Rhinolophus ferrumequinum: one gene and its partner. The protein of the gene in region 2 interacts with the protein of the main gene of each other region in a biochemical or structural test. Links are inferred from orthologs where the notes say so. Each region holds a gene or a part of one and is shown on either strand. Other genes may lie near its edges. The genes, in order: MECP2 and PRPF40A.

Region 1 (8,541 bases), on a different chromosome or scaffold from region 2:
GGTCCTTCCGTTGGAGTGACAGTAATACTCTACCCAAGAAAAACGGTTGTGTCTGTTGGCCACAGGAGGCTGGTCTGCACGCATGTCACCATAACAGAGGGCAGTGGAAACAAGCAGGTGTCCTGCCACACTCCCTGCAACTCGGCGCCAGTCTAGGGCTGTTCTTTTACCCCCCGTGCGTTTAAAACACTAGTTACTACAAATGTCAAACATTTTCTGTTATTCTCTCACGGACTCTCAGGCAGCCTTCCAACAAACTGCTCTGAGCCAATTAAAAGATTTCTTCTGATATTCGTTGTTAGAAAAGATGACTGGTTGCAAGACACATCATTTATCATGCAAACAGTCCCAGGCAGGTACCTTAGCAGCGAAAACGGGCCTGAGACGGGAACCAACAATTTTAACGCTGCTCTTCTTTATTGTAAGTTAAAGAAGAGAGTTTCTCATTTGATCTCCACGTGGGGGAAGGAGTATTTGGGTGGGGGGCAACATCATATGGGACTCATCTAGCCAGCTGTGCTGTCCAACTCCACAGCTCGCCTCCGTACCCCACTAGATCCGGCCACTCAGCGGCAGGGCAGGCAGGGAAACAATGGCTCTGACTGGAAATTACAAATAGAATGCAAAACTGTATTCTAACCCCCACCCCACCCCCCAGTACACAAACAGCCCAAAAGTTGGGAGTACGGTTTGACGGCATCATGCTTTGCCAGGTGAAACAAAGACCTGGTACTCGGTTTAAAGCATTCCAGGCAAATTTGTAACAGTAAGAAATAGAACAGCATGATAGGCCAATATGAGCAAGAAAGCCATAGAAGGTCTCTTCAAGCTGTTAGGACATGCTTACTTCACACACCACCAGGAACTTCGCAGATAAACTATATTCTGGAAGCTACCTGTGCTGTTTAAAGGGCTAGGGGTATGACAAACAGCTGGCTGGAGGGCATCTGAAGAGGCAAACACATTGCCAACGACGGCAAAACAAAGCAAAGCCCTTGTCCAGTGACATCTCAGGTTCAGATGTACAAACCTTGGAATCTTTGTCAAGTGAGGCTTGCGTGTCTGTGTTCTGGACGGGATGTACCTCAGTGACAGGCCACTTAGCTGACATGTACGAATGGGTGCTCTGTGGCGACTTACTTAATCAACTGTACTTCTACTAGATTGATTGTGCCCTTTAAAGTTCTGACATGTGTGGGTAAGGAAATAAAAGTGTTTTCTAGGCTTCCCCACTGGGATTTGAAGTGCAAGTCCTAAAAAGCCCACAAATAAGCCCATTTCCCCGAAATCCCTGGGGGAAATTCCCAGAAGACCTAAAAAAATCCAGACCCTGTATTTTCAATAAGGATCTAGCATATTTCAAGAGACTCAAGAGGCCAGGCTCAATCTCACTGTTAACTGCAATTACTGAGATCCAGATGAAAATTCCAGCCATGAAACCCAAATTTCTCCTCTAGAGTACTAACTGCCATTAACAATGAATTTTACTACCAAGGCCTGACTACGCTTCGTTTTTCTAGCATGACCAAATGCCTGTAACTTGGGAGAGTCCTACCAAGTCTAAACTACTTCGCATCATCACACGCCGGAAGTCTAAGCCACTTAGCATCAGCGCACGCCGGTAGGGATGGTTCCAGGATCACCAACCACCCCCTGAATTTGATCCTACCGTCTCACAACTTGGGGTACTGATCCCACACAGCAGACACAACATGTGAATGGCTCCACAGAGCCCATTCCTGTTCCTGGAAAAATAACCAGAAGCACACATCTGCCTGACCATGAGTCAGGAATATCAATTTTGTGGTTGAGCCCATTTCTGCTGTGACCAATCCACACGGAACACACAACAGAAACGACTGCCACAGAGGTATTCCAGAGCAAGCTTCCCCCTCTCCGAGCCATACTTAGCAATATCGCAAAGGGTCTCTCCTCTGTGAGAGCACTCTTTTTAGACTCTTCACAATGACCTTAAGTTTTCAGCGCAAAACCACAGACACATTGCCACACCATGTAAAAGTCACCTGAGTTTCAGTGTGGGCGAGTCAGGCATAACCAAACTAAAAAGAAAATAAACTTTCAGAGACAATTGACAGGAACCACAGCGATGCGATGAACTTGCCCCATATGGTACTGGTGATCTAGAGCAGGACGCGTCCAGGACTACGGGAGCCCGTTACATACGGTGTCCCACTCCACTTATGTAACTGGAAGATCGCCGGCGGAGGGGGGAGGATGGGAGGACGCTCATATTTCTGAGGCCACCGCAACCCCAAAGACCCTGGAGGCGCACTCCCACTGAAGAGCCTCAGGTGCTGCCGGACAAACAGTCCCCTATCCACGGCTCCCGATGGGAACTAGAACAGCCTCTTTCGGATGAGTTGTGGGACCAGGAACACAATGTCTAGTCCCTTTTGTGGGTGGACAATAAATTCCCACCTACTTGTTCCTGCTGGATGGGAAAGGAGATGGTGGACCGACTCGCTCGCAATGGGGGCAGAAAGTCACGGAATGGGCGAGAAGGAGGGGGAGGCAGAGCCTGAAGATGGGGGGTGAGAGCGCAGGAGCCCTTGTGGCGCACTCTCCCGACGGGAGGCGGACTGCGCACGCGCGCCGGTGGGGGGGGCCGAGTAACGGGAGAGGGGGCGCGCGAGGGAGGGAGAGGGGAGAGCGCGATCCAGGGAGAGGCTGGGGCCGCGGGCGCGCGACGGCGCCGCGGGCCCGAAGCCCCGAGAAGGGCACGACGCGCGCGCAGCCCAGACAAGCGAAGCCCCAGCGACAGCGGCGCCCGTGGGGCCGGGGGCCGGGATGCGCGCTGAAGGCGGGAGAGAGCGGGGCGCCAGGCGAAGGTGGCCCGGGGAGGCCGGGGCGAGGACGGTCACCCGCAAGTGCGGGTGACGGGCCGAGGGGGGAGCCGTCACCGGCGGCGGCGGGAGGGGGAGGGTAAAGAGGAGGGACGCCATCCGCCAGCCGTGTCGTCCGACCCCGCGGGCCCCTCCCGCGCCACGTCCCGCCCCTACCCCCCGCCCCTCGGCAAGGGTCCCCGCCCGCGGCCGCGGTGGCCCCACTCACAGTCTCTCCTCCTCGCCTCCTCCTCCTCCTCCGCTTGGCGCGGCAGCGGCGGCGGCGGCCATTTTCCGGACGGCTTTTACCACAGCCCTCTCTCCGAGAGGAGGGAGCGCGCGCGCCGCCGACGCCGGGACTCCGCACGGTCGACGTCGCGCCCCGCCCTCCCGGCCGGACTGCGCGCAGCTGCACCTGCGCGCCCGCGTCCCGCCCCCGGCGCTGCCGCGAGCCCGTCTGCCATTGGGTGCGGCGATCGGGGCGGGGCGGGTCCTCCGCGGCGGAGCCACCAATTGGCGATAGTTTGTGTCCATTCTGGCCAGGGAAAAGGGGGCGGACCCCCTGCCCAGCTGCCGATTGGCTGCCGTTGGCCGTCATTTGGGAAAAAGAGGCGGCTTGGGCACTGAGGGGCTGGTTTAGTGGGAGGAATTTGAATATTAAGGATTAATGGGCCCTTGCGGATGCTGGGGCAAGTGAAGGCCTAGCCTTCGCACTCCTGTTTGCGCGCGGCCCTCCTGGGCGGTTGATGCGCTGTCCGCAAACACACCAAGTAAGCTGCAATAAGTGTTTCACTGCACCTGCATTTTCTTATTGTCACCACCTTCAGTAGAAGCAACAAAGTTGCCTGCCCTGGAGCCTGACGTTCCAGCTGAAAGACCTTGGTTTAAGAGGCCTATCCATTGCATTCTTTCATCTGAGCCTGCCACGAGCCAGACTCTCATAGGGGCAGGGAATAAACTGACAACAAATCACAGCTCTGGCCTTCGTGAAACTGTGGTGGGGGAAAAGGGGACATGACAAGGCTGCATGAGACCCGTCATTGTTGGATCAGATGGTTTGGTGGAGGTGTGAAGAAGGCAGTGGAAGCACAGAGGAAGCAGCACTAAGCTCTACCTGGAGGGGAAAGGGAAGATTTCCTAGAAGAGGTGACTTGGGAGCTAAGAGCCAGCAATTCTGTTTTGAAAAAATAAGAGTATAAGAAAAGTTTTAGTCAGTGGGGTGTTCAAGATAAGACTGCTTGACAAGGCGAACTTACTCTGATTCCAGCCATCCTCCAATTCATCAAATGCTCCTTGTACAAGTCCTGTGATTAACAAGGAATCTTCTAATTCTGATTTGGCTCCCCCCCCCACCGCCATTCATTTACTAAACAGCTGCTATATGCCAGGCACTGTTCCAGGCTCTGGAAGCACAGAACTGAATAAGACAGCAAACTAACATTCTTATGTGAAATATTCATACTAAACATACAAATAACTATGTAACATAATGTAACATAGTGATAAAGGCTTTGAGGTAGATAAAACAAGGGTGAATAGGTGCTATTTAGATATCCACAGGCTTTTGCCTTCATTTTATTCCCCCATGTAGATATCTGGGGAGAGAACATTTCAGAAAAGTAAAAAGGCCCTGAGGAGAGACTATGCCCAGCGTGTTAGGGACTAACAAAGAAGCTTATGTGGCTAGAGAGGGATGGAGTCACTATGGGAAATGGGAGCTTATTCTGAGCTGAGAAGCCCTTGGAGAATTTTGAACTGGGAGTTGACACCATCAAATCTATGTTGTAGGTGCAGTGTGGAGAACTATCCATGCTGGGACAAAACTAGGAGCAAGAGCCCAGTCAGGAGCTCCTGACAACAATCTAGGAGAGGTAAGAGTGGATTTAACTAGGATGGTAGCAGTGGAGGTTCTGAAAAGTTGTGAGATTCAAGCCATGTTTTCAAAATCAGGCAGAAAGGATTGGCTGTAGGGTATAAAGACAGAAGAAACAAGTATGATTCCTGAGTTTTTGTCCTGAGCAACTGAGTAAATGGGTGCCTTTCACCACGATTGGGCTCCCCTGTAGAAAACGCACGTTTTTATAGGTACAGATCAAGAATTCTGTTTTGGCCATGTTAAGCTTAGAGTGCCTATTAGACGTGCAAGTGGAGCTGTTGAGCAGGCTCTTGGGTCAACAAGCAGTCAACAAGTCAACAAGCTGAATATTTAACTCAAGAAGCTATAAAAGGAACAACATAGTAAAAATGGAGAAAATAGAAGAAAAATAACAATGAGCAGAAATTGATGAAGCAGAAACAAGTGATAGATTGAGTACATCAAAAGCTGATTCTTCGACAAGCTGAAAAACAAAAGCCAACCCTCTAAGAAGTGACATGTAAGGAGAGAAGAGACCAGCCCCTTATAATAAAAATGAAAAGGAGCCACAGCCTACAGATAGAATAGATTATACAATAGATGGTAGATAAATTGGAAAATATAAACAAAATGAATAAATTCCTAGAAAAGCACAGCTTACCAAAATTGACTCTAGAAACAAAACCTGGATAGACCCTCGATAACCACAAAGGAATTGATTATGTATTTTAAAAATCTCTCCCCCCAAAAAAAATAATAAAACAAGCTCAGAGAGTTTTACAGACGAGTTCTACCAAATCTTTAATGAGTGGGTAATTCCAATCATAAACAGAAAAAAAAATGAAGAAATCTCTCCAAACTTGTGAAACTAATATAACTATTATAACGAGCGAATAACAGCATGATACTGGATGTGGAAATAGATGTAAAACTTCTAGACAAATAAACTGAATCTGGCGGTATATAATAATATAACCAAGTTGAGTTTTATCCTAAGAATGCAAGGATGGTTTAAAATTAGAAAATCAACTTTAACTAATTTAAGGGGAACAAATTATATGATTATTTCAATAGATGCAGAAAAAGCATTTGATAAAATTCAACAGCCACTTATGATAAAAAAAAACCCCAACAACTTAGAGAACTATGAATAGAAGGGAACTTTCTTGATCTAATCAAAGGTATCTATCAAAAAAAACTTAGAACAAACATTGTATTTAATGGTGTGAAGTAGAAACAAAGCAAGAAACAGAACAAGATCTACAGGGCAACATCACTTGTGTAAAATAAAACACGTGTGCTTCTCCTTTCATTCTCTTTTAAACTTCATCCTTGGAGTTCACAGCAAGGAGAAAGACCAATTAATTCCAAGTTGATTCCCTGCTTGTTAGAATGCAGACATAGAGATCCAGCCAAGAGCTGGGAAATTTAATGGGGGAAAAACATTCAACTTACTCTAGCTACAAAAATTATAAAGCAGTTGGGAACAAACGTCATAAGAAATGCCAAAACACCTACATTAAAAAACACAATAAAGATGTCAATTCTTCACAAATTAATCTGGAAATTCTTTGCCTGAATCAAAATCCAGGAGTTTTTATATACTATAACAAGTTAATGCTAGGTTGGGAAGAGTAAGTGTACAAGGCTAGAAGTCAAGACATTTTTGAAAGAAAAAAAACCAATGGAGAGCGTCTAGGGTCTTGCTAAATCCCTTAGTTTGAATAAACAGGACTTAAATGGTACAATTTCACTCTCGCCATTGAAAAGTAGAAAAATATACTGGAGTGTAAAGTATTTACTAGTGAATTAAAAATGGGCCATTTAAAAAATGGGACTGTAGAAGATAAAAACCAGGAAAACGTCATAGAGATAGCAACCACGACAGAAAACCAACAACCAGAAGGATTTTTTCGATATGGAAGATAGAGTTCAAACTTCTCCATCTGTCTAAAAATCCCTTCGGCTAATAGAAAATATATATTTTCATGAGAAGGGTAAAACAGACTGCACAAAATTTTAGAACATCCCAGATGATATCACAAAAAATAAGTAAATAAAAACTACAAATTTGTTTCAAACACTATGGGACATTTCCTAAAGTTGCTTATACATTAGACCCCTCAAAAAAAAAAAAACAATCTCAGTAAATTCCGAAATGTAGAAATCCTGCAGTTCAATCTCTGGCAACAATACAATAAAATTAAAACTTAGGAACAAGAGAATGGGCAAAAGTAAAACAAAACAAAACAAAACAAAACAAAAAAACACTCTCCATTTGGAACTTTTAAAACAGGCTTCAAAATAACTCTTTGGTTAAAGAGGAAACAAAAACTAAAATTATAAACTCTTCAGCAGTGACCAACAATGAGAGCCATACACATTAAAACCTATGCTGTGTGGCCAAAATGGTCATCTAGAAAAATTAATAACCTTAAGTACATTTATTAGAAAATAGATGAGAAATGAATTGATTCTGATACATCATGCTTGCACTCATGTGCGTGCGCATATACACAGATATACAAACACGGTTTTCCTTCTTTACCCTTAGAAACTTACCGCAAGAAAAGTATTGATTAACAGAAAGGAATAAACCCATCAGAGTGAAGAGAATGTGGTGAGGATAGGAAGTTATCCTCGATGGACAGATTTCAACATTCATTTTGGAAAGCAGATGAGAATTAGTTGATGGATAAAACAGGCAGGAAAAATCCAGCCTAAAATTGACAAGGGAACTACAGAGGAAGTGGGAGCCAGTTTATCAGATATAACACCAGAGAGTAGGCTCCGAATCAGCAGGCATATGGTGGAAGGCAATAGAATTAAATGGGACTGAACACTTGGGGATTGATTGAAGGGCCCAATACAGAATGACTGCACCAGTTGGAACCTCCTCTCCTTCAACAGACAGCTGAGGGGACAACCGGTGTAAACCTGCAGCGAAAATACCTGACAGCTCTCTAATGAAATTGAATGAAATGTCTGTAGAGAGCTAGGGCTTCCAGCATGGGTATTGGTAACCCCTGAACAATTTTCTCCTCATTCCAGCATTTGTGGGATATAAACTCTGTTCCTCAGCTCCCTACCCTACACAAAAGAGTCATAGCAGGAAAATGGAACTATTTGCCCTAAAGCAGAATAAATCCACAATAATTATCCAGTCCTTCTTTATTAAATATTAACCAACCACTAGGGATCATCATAAATTTGAATAAGGCCTGCAACATTAAAAATAGTCAAGTGTAACCTATAGGGGGAAAATGAACTTGGAGAAATCCCAGAAAATGCAGGGAACATATGGGGAAAAAATTAATTTGATTAGCTTATTCAGAGACCTGACAGAAAATATTGCATCCAAAAGACAAGAACAGAATATTGTGTAAAAGGAGTGGGAAACAAGAAAGAGTTAATGGAGGGGCTAGCCCCGTGGCTCAGGCGGTTGGAGCTCCGTGCTCCTAACTCTGAAGGCTGCTGGTTCAATTCCCACATGGGCCAGTGGGCTCTCAACCACAAGGTCGCCAGTTTGATTCCTTGAGTCCCGCAAGGGATGGTGGGCTGTGCCCCCTGCAACTAGCAACGGCAACTGGACCTGGAGCTGAGCTGCACCCTCCACAACTAAGACTGAAAAGACAACAACTTGAAGTTGAACGGCACCCTCCACAACTAAGATTGAAAGGACAACAACTTGACTTGGAAAAAAGTCCTGGAAGTAGACACTATTCCCCCAATAAAGTCTTGTTCCCCTTCCCCAATAAAATCTTAAAAAAAAAAAGAATTAGTGGAAATTAAATGAGTATTGAAATTCCAATTTCAATAGAAATATTGAAAGATAAAACCAAA
Region 2 (7,471 bases):
CTTGGAAGATGATCCTATTTGCTGTCAGTTATCTACCAAGCACACCTAAAAGCAATACCAGACCATTGATTTAACTATAAGTGGAAAGCCAAGCAGGGCAATGACGAAGTCCCATTATATTCCTTTTGATACTGAACAAGCCATTTCTTCAGATGACAAACGCTATCCAATCTTTTCATAAACGTCAAATTTTGCCAACTTTTAAACAAGTTAGAATTATGCCTAGTTTATAAGGTTTTCTTTCTACTGCATCAAGAGTTGACATCAATGCTATGAAAAAACTCATAATCGTGCTCACTTCCGCAGCACATACACTAAGACTCATAATCTTGGCTGTTTTTAGAGATGAAACAGTATAACAACATACACTAATAAAATGAGTAACAAAAAATACTATTTTCTCATGCAAGAAATTGAGAAGGGCACAGACAAGTTTTCTAGATTAGTTTCTAACAAACTAATTTGTAATTTGAAGATAAAGGTTTCTCCTCCTGCAAAATCCAGTAGACTATACTTTGTATCATCATGAGGGCACTGTCCTTGAAGAGGTGGATTAAATAGTTTGCTAAGATTGGGGAGGGAGACTGTAACATGCAGGATAGGATCCCAACCATTTTTTTCCCCTCATTTTAGAGTGGTTAATCAAATAAATTATAGCAAATAGGATAAATATACCAAAGTTCTGAACTCTTCAAAATCATTTTGCAGAGAAAAATAAATACAAGATAAATAACCCTTGAATTTTTCACTAGAAACCTGTAATCTATAGCATTCAATAGAGGTTCTACAGAAATTCAGGTCTGACTCTTTCCTAGTCATTATTAACCTGTGCAAGTATGACCAATGCTTCTGACTTTTTTTAAAAACAAGTCGATTATAAAATTTGAACTTAAATCTCTTCTGAGGTCTGCTTAAGATGTTATGTTTTCTAAGTTTGTGAGGAAGTTTTTTTATTTTTTTAATTCCTGGGAAGAAGTATAAGAAGACTCTTTCAGAAAACTCTTTCAGTATTCTCTGGGTCTTTGTCACATACAGTTCTGTTCAAAATGCACTCATTCCTAGTGTGTGTGGTATACATACATACATATACCGTGTTTCCCTGAACATAAGATATAGCCAGACCATCAGCTCTAATGTGTCTTTTGGAGCAAAAATTAATATAAGACCCTTTATTATATTAATATTAATATTATATTATATATTATACTAATTACATTAAAGACCTGGTCTCATATTAATTTTTGCTCCAAAAGATGCATTAGAGCTGCTGGTCAGGCGAGGCCTTATTTTCGGGGAAACACGGTACACATACACACACACACACCCTACACATATGTAAAAAGAAAATCTAATAAAATTGACCACACATACGCAAATGAAAAGATTAAGACTGAATCAACAGCACAAGAAAATACGTTAAGTATTTTATCCAAAATCTTGTATAGTTTAAACATGATCTGAAAAAAACAAATGAGCTCAAAATCAAATGAAGTGACAAGTCCATACCTAATAGCCCAGTGTCTATATCATCTTCATTCTTCAAATTCTCAGCATGTAACTCTGTAAACACAAAAAAGGGCTTCAGTAAAAAAGATGAGTTTGTAATTTGAACAGTAGCTCAAAGGCTGAGAAGACAGTTTTAGAGCTGTGGAAAGTGATCTAAAGTCATAAACTGGGTTCGAATTCTGATTCTATTTATTAGTTATGTGACCTTCAGTAAGCAAGTAAGACGTCTATGAGTCAACTGCCATATATATAAAATGGTAATATTTAAACCATTGAGTTGTCATGAAGACATTTATATAATGCAAATCACAGGGCATACTAGGTTTTGAGTTCAGGTCCTTTCTCCATTCTCCAAAATAGCACAGCTCAATGTACTTGCAGGTTTCGTGGCTTTATGATAAAAAGGCAATCACTCAGAGCAAAAGAGAAATAAACTACCTACAAGACAAAACTCCGAGTTACAGTGAAAAAAGACGGGGAGGGAATGAAATATTGGTACCCATATACTTAATTTAACATTGACAGTTTATAACCAGTACCATTGTACGAATAGGTAAAAATTGCCAATCTGTCTTCTGTATGAAACTCAAGCATGGTAAACTGTTAGATGCCACCTGCAGCCCACTAGTGGATTGGAAGCAATGAGGAAAAATAAAAACTGCAAATAGATTTAATTCAATTTAGTGAAAATTAATATTTGAGTAACAATGTGTTGGGTTCTTCTCATACAACAAAGGTAGTTTTGTCCTAATTTTTCTTTTTCGGCTAACTTGGCTAGTTACACACGAATGAGACCTGAGATTTAAACTCAGGTCTGATTCTTTCCACTGCAATATAAAATATCCAACCACGTAATAAATACATCCGTATAAGCATTGGAAAACCTTTCAAGGCACAACTCTATTCCAATCTGGCTATGTCAACTTTAGACACAGGAAAACAAAATAATCAGAGAAAGCACAGACTAGCTGCTGTAACAGAACTTTACCACTACACTCAGTTGCAAACTTAACACAAAACGAAGAGCTCATTATTTAACTCTAATAGCAGACATTTGGGCTGTGGGATGGAAATCCTTGTACTTCAGGAATTCTCTGAGTGTACAGAGAAATCGTTGGGTAGCACATATTTAACCCGTTGTGAATTAGACTTTGAACACGTATAGCCTATTTTAATTACACTTTTCACCGTCTTCTACTGATTGTCCTGCGTTTTAATTTTGCCAATATCTCACCTCGTGTTCACTGATTTTAAAATACTATTTGACTCAAAGTCTTTCTAATGGGTCTCCTGATGACGGACCAGGACACTTCACCTTTAAGAAAAGTGAGGACAAAGGGAGGAGAGCAAAGAAAAGTGCCATTGAGAACTCTGAATGAAAGCGGCTACCAGCTGAGCTCGCTGGTCTTTGATGGGGAGAAGGGTGACGAAGGCTAGAGCCATGTCCAGGCTCAACTTTATTCTGGACAGACTTTCAAGGCCCGACCTTCAGTACCTTTTACGATCAGGTAGGCGATGGCGAGGAGGAAGGCGAGGAGGGCGGCGAACAGCAGCGAACAGAGAACTGAGAGGACCTGGACCGGCCACCGCCCAACCTGTGTCCGGCCGTGCGTATCCGCCGAGAAGATGCCATTGCGCTTATCCGGCAGGACCGGAGACCCGTCCCCCTCCGGCGGGAGTAACAAGCCCTTTCTAGGCTCTGACGACGCCCCAGCCGAGAATTCTGCCCGCAAGTCGCGGGCTACTTGGTCGCATTCATCCTCCTCGTCCACTTCACCTTCACCCCAACTATCCCCTTGAGTCAAGGAGGAAAACCCCGGCCGACAAAAAGGGACGGGGGTACCGAGGCGGCGGCGCACTGCAACCGAGCACCTCCCGCTCTCCAGGAACGACATGGCGGGAAAGCCGGCGAGGCCCGAGGAGATCCAGCGTCTCCCGCCCGCGCCGCCCCGAGCTCGCAGCAGCCAATCAGCGGCCTGGCCACCCCACGGCCTCCACCACCCTGTCCCCAAGCGCAGGGGTGCGCGAGGGTGCGCGGAGGGGCGGAGGAGGTGCTGTGAGGCCCTAAGAGAGGCTAGGTACAACTGGACTAGAGCACGATCCCCGGGCAGGAGGAGGGAAGGGGAGCCGGGAAGCGAGCGTTGAGGAAGCCGAGGCCGAAGGTAGCCGGGTTTCCTCTCCCTGCTTTGCTTCGTCCCGGCCAGAAGCCTCAGCCACCGCCGCGTCACCTCCAAGCAAGCCCGCGCCCCGGCAGCCCGACAGCTGCATCTTCTGACGCCGGGTCCTAGCGCCCGCTCGTTCCCCTGACTCCCGTACCCAAACCTATTTACTTTCTCCCTTTTGGTCCTAGACGCTCACACTCTCCCCGGGCTTCCCTCATTAACGGCAGCTCACTGGCCAGTGCTTTCAGGTCGCCTTAAGTGCCCACCCGTCATACCCTTTCGCATTGTTCTCCCCGCCCCTACCATAACTTCCCTCCACGCTGCTCGGCACGCCTCCTCCCCCCACCTCTCCGCCCCGGCGCGCGCTCTCCAGCTGGTGCGTACGGTGCTCCAGCCCGCTCCACCGACCACCGGACCCCTCCTCTCGCCTTCCCCGCCCCCGCCCCTCCGCCTAGAGCACCGTGCGCGCGCCTCGGGTCCCGGCCGCCTCTAACGCTAGAAGCTGCTTACCCCTCCCCCCCGCCCACCCTTCCCGACCCCACCCTACCCCCTGGCGGCCTCAGGTTTGTGGGGCGTACGTAACTCGGGCAGGGAGGTGAAGGTGGCAGGTCCCCACTGCCCCACCCCTAAGGGGTGAGGCGGTCTAAGCTCGGGAAGCTGGGACACGGTTGTTTTCCCTTCCCGGGGGTAAGTTGGTGGAGTTTTTCCGGCAGAGGACTCGGCGCAGAAACTTCCTCCGTCCCCCTCCCCCCCTCCATGCAGGCGACGCCGAGTGAGGCTGAGGCTGGGGGCGAATCGCCGCAGAGCTGCGTGTCGGCAGCGCACTCTGACTGGACAGCGGGGAAGCCTGTCAGCTTATTGGCCCCGCTGATCCCGCCCCGTAGCGCGGGGCAGCCTTTAACCTTTGGCCCCAGCGGGCGCCAGCCACTCAGATCGCTTCTTGTTGGTATATGCGGCGGTAGTGGCCGCCGGCGGAGCAGTCTGAGCCAGACGATGAGGCCGGGGACAGGAGCCGAGCGTGGAGGCCTCATGGTGAGTGAAATGGAGAGCCATCCTCCCGCGCGGGGTCCTGGGGACGGGGAGCGGAGATTGTCCGGCTCAAGCCTCTGCTCCAGCTCTTGGGTCTCTGCTGACGGCTTCCTGAGGAGACGGCCCTCGGTAAGGGATCAGTGTGGCAGGGGAAAAGCGGCACAATGAAAAACGGAGTCAGACAGGAAGCTTTCTCCAAAAGGAGAAGAAGATAAGAGTGGACGAAGCTAAGAGCTCGAGGTGGTGGGGTGTGTTCGGAGGGGGAGAAATGGAGGGCGAGAATGCACAAAGGGAAGGATGTGGGACCCTGGAAGTTTCCAGTGGCTTGGCTTAGACAGATGTGCGGTGGAGGTGCTGGGCCCTGAGCTGGGTGACGGTTCCCGAGAGGTAGGCCCGATTTAGGAGGGGCGGGGGGAGGCGGAGACGTGATTCTGGAGGCTTTAGAAGAATATGCCAAGATCTGTTTTCACTAGTAGTAGTGGTGTCTGTAGGGTGGACAGCTGGGAGAATTAGCAGGTGATCCATTACGTGGTTTTAAGACCTGGAACAATGAACACACAGGTAAAGGAAGTAGTTGTCTTATAAAAGCACGTTAAAATGGATGAATTAGTTTTTTTGCATTTAGTGTGTGTGAATGACAGACCTCAGTCTTGGAATAAATTTTTTTTTGGTAGAAATAATTTTACCCGTATAAACGTTATATTAGGAAATGTGATTATATTAGGAAATGTTTATTTGTTAGGAATGAGGTGTCCCTGGGTACCCATACTATTTGTTTCATAAGACCAGTTCTTATTTGAGTTAATTTGGTAAATTAAGCTTAAGATCATCTAGAAATAAATTAAGAATAACTAGTCTTAAAAAATAAAAAGTTATCTAATATCTGTGATAAAGGACAAAGTTGTGGTTTTCATCATAACAGTTAAGTTGGCTTTCACATACATTTTTTTCTGAATTTAGCAAGTCAATTAGTAATTGATTAAATAAATGTGCTTAAAAAAACATGATCTAGCTGTTCACTAATGATTTTTATTTTTTACATTTTGTTCTGGAATTTGATTAGTTGAAAGCTCATTATAAATATTAATGTAGTGCATTTTTGTTTAAGGCAAAGTATAAACTAACCTGGTAATTAAATCACATATTAACCTAATATTATATCACTGCACATAACTGATTTGTTGAAATCAGTTTTTTAAGAAGTTTATTGTTGTTTGCTAATTTTTGAATTCCCCTTATTTTTCAGATGGGGCACCCTGGCATGCATTATGCCCCAATGGGAATGCACCCTATGGGTCAGAGAGCAAATATGCCTCCTGTACCTCATGGAATGATGCCACAAATGATGCCCCCAATGGGAGGGCCACCAATGGGACAAGTAAGAATGTTTTTGTTTTATTTCATTTTTATTTATTTTTGCCTATGGTATTGTGCCAAGATTTCAAAATCTGGGTCAATACTTGTAGCTATTTAAGGATTCGTTTATGCCAAAATAATGTTTTCAAATAAATGAAATGTTGAGTCATGATACTAACCATTTTGAATATAACGAAAAGTCTTCTGTATAAAAGATCAACTTTTTATTGCAACAAAATTGAGTTGTTTTTTTAATTTAAAAGTAATTCTGTACATGTAGACTTTTTAATGACATTTTTCCCCCAAGTATGTCAATTGAACTTAATATTCTAAGGGTAAATATTATCTGATAGATAACATAATTTATGTCGGCGGACTATGTAAATACATAGAATCTGAAAATTGCACTTGTTCAGGTCTTTGGCTTAGAATGAATTTTATTCCTGAAAAAGCTTTCTCGTGTGGGATGGAGGGGGTGTGTGGAGGTGGGGAGGTTCTACTCTAATTTGGTTCTTCATGGGACAGTGCCAAATAGGTAGTTTCCACTTACACTATTTTGTTGTCGTTGTTTTAATGTTTATTGCTTCTGCACTCCTGCTTTTGAGCTGTCCCTTCCATCTCCAGCATAAATTGTAAATGGACATTTTGTAGGAGTGATCTGGATCAAAAGATTTTAATGGGGACTCAGTGAATGTAATAGAGCTGAGTTCCTAGAGAAGCATTTAAGAAAGGTAACAGGTTCAGTTACCGTGAATAATTTTATGCCCCGCTAGATTCTATAATAATTTCTTAGTAGAGCTGCTCTAACTAGATAATGAATCCTTTAAATGCTCTCATTATTTAAAATTAGTTTGGTGGCTGGTTTCTTTCCATTTGAGTATCCCAATAAATCATCAAAAATTTAGGCTAACAAAATTTTTTGGAAAGCCAGTCAATTAGGTATGATGTTTCTGCTAATTAATACTGTTTGTTTTGATAATCATTTAAGCCTTGATGGTTTAAGTTATTGGTGAAATTGTAGTGGAGAAAGGAGCTTGCTCTGCGTCTCTTTTTACTTAATCTTAAGAGTAGTAGGGTTTAAATGTCAAGTACTTTTTTTTTTTAAAATTTGGAATATAGCCCTTAACTTTGTATAAAAATCTTTATTCAAAGGTACCAGGCCCAGAGGATTCGGCTTGTAGAACTTTAAATAAAAGAACCATTTATTTTGTTACGCTAGAATAACATGAGTTTTAAAACTCCCTAGTTGATGGAGAAACACCTCTGATTCCTTTTCTGTTTCTTTCCATCTTTAAGCAGCAAGGAGCTCTTGTTTTCTTAGTAGAGCTGCTCGAACTAGATAATGAGCTTTAAAAAATATTTATTCTTTAAATGCTCTGGTTCTTATTTAAAATTAGTTTCTTTCCACAGAAAGATAA

The links.
Region 1: the proteins of PRPF40A (region 2) and MECP2 form a complex in vitro, tested with the Homo sapiens proteins (2 studies listed by BioGRID, with this or other methods). The link is inferred for Rhinolophus ferrumequinum from reciprocal best matches to the Homo sapiens genes PRPF40A and MECP2.

What each region holds. Positions count from the first base shown.
Region 1 is NC_046284.1:6,364,376-6,372,916, reverse strand, and holds the start of MECP2 (methyl-CpG-binding protein 2), read right to left. Parts: upstream 3,230-8,541; 5' UTR 3,135-3,229; coding exon 3,073-3,134; intron 1-3,072. UniProt on the Homo sapiens protein: Chromosomal protein that binds to methylated DNA. It can bind specifically to a single methyl-CpG pair. It is not influenced by sequences flanking the methyl-CpGs.
Region 2 is NC_046291.1:67,935,501-67,942,971, forward strand, and holds the start of PRPF40A (pre-mRNA-processing factor 40 homolog A), read left to right. Parts: upstream 1-4,424; coding exon 4,425-4,826; intron 4,827-5,943; coding exon 5,944-6,075; intron 6,076-7,463; exon of another isoform or gene 7,464-7,471. Other genes in the region: ARL6IP6 (ADP-ribosylation factor-like protein 6-interacting protein 6), read right to left, coding at 1,507-1,560, 3,002-3,401.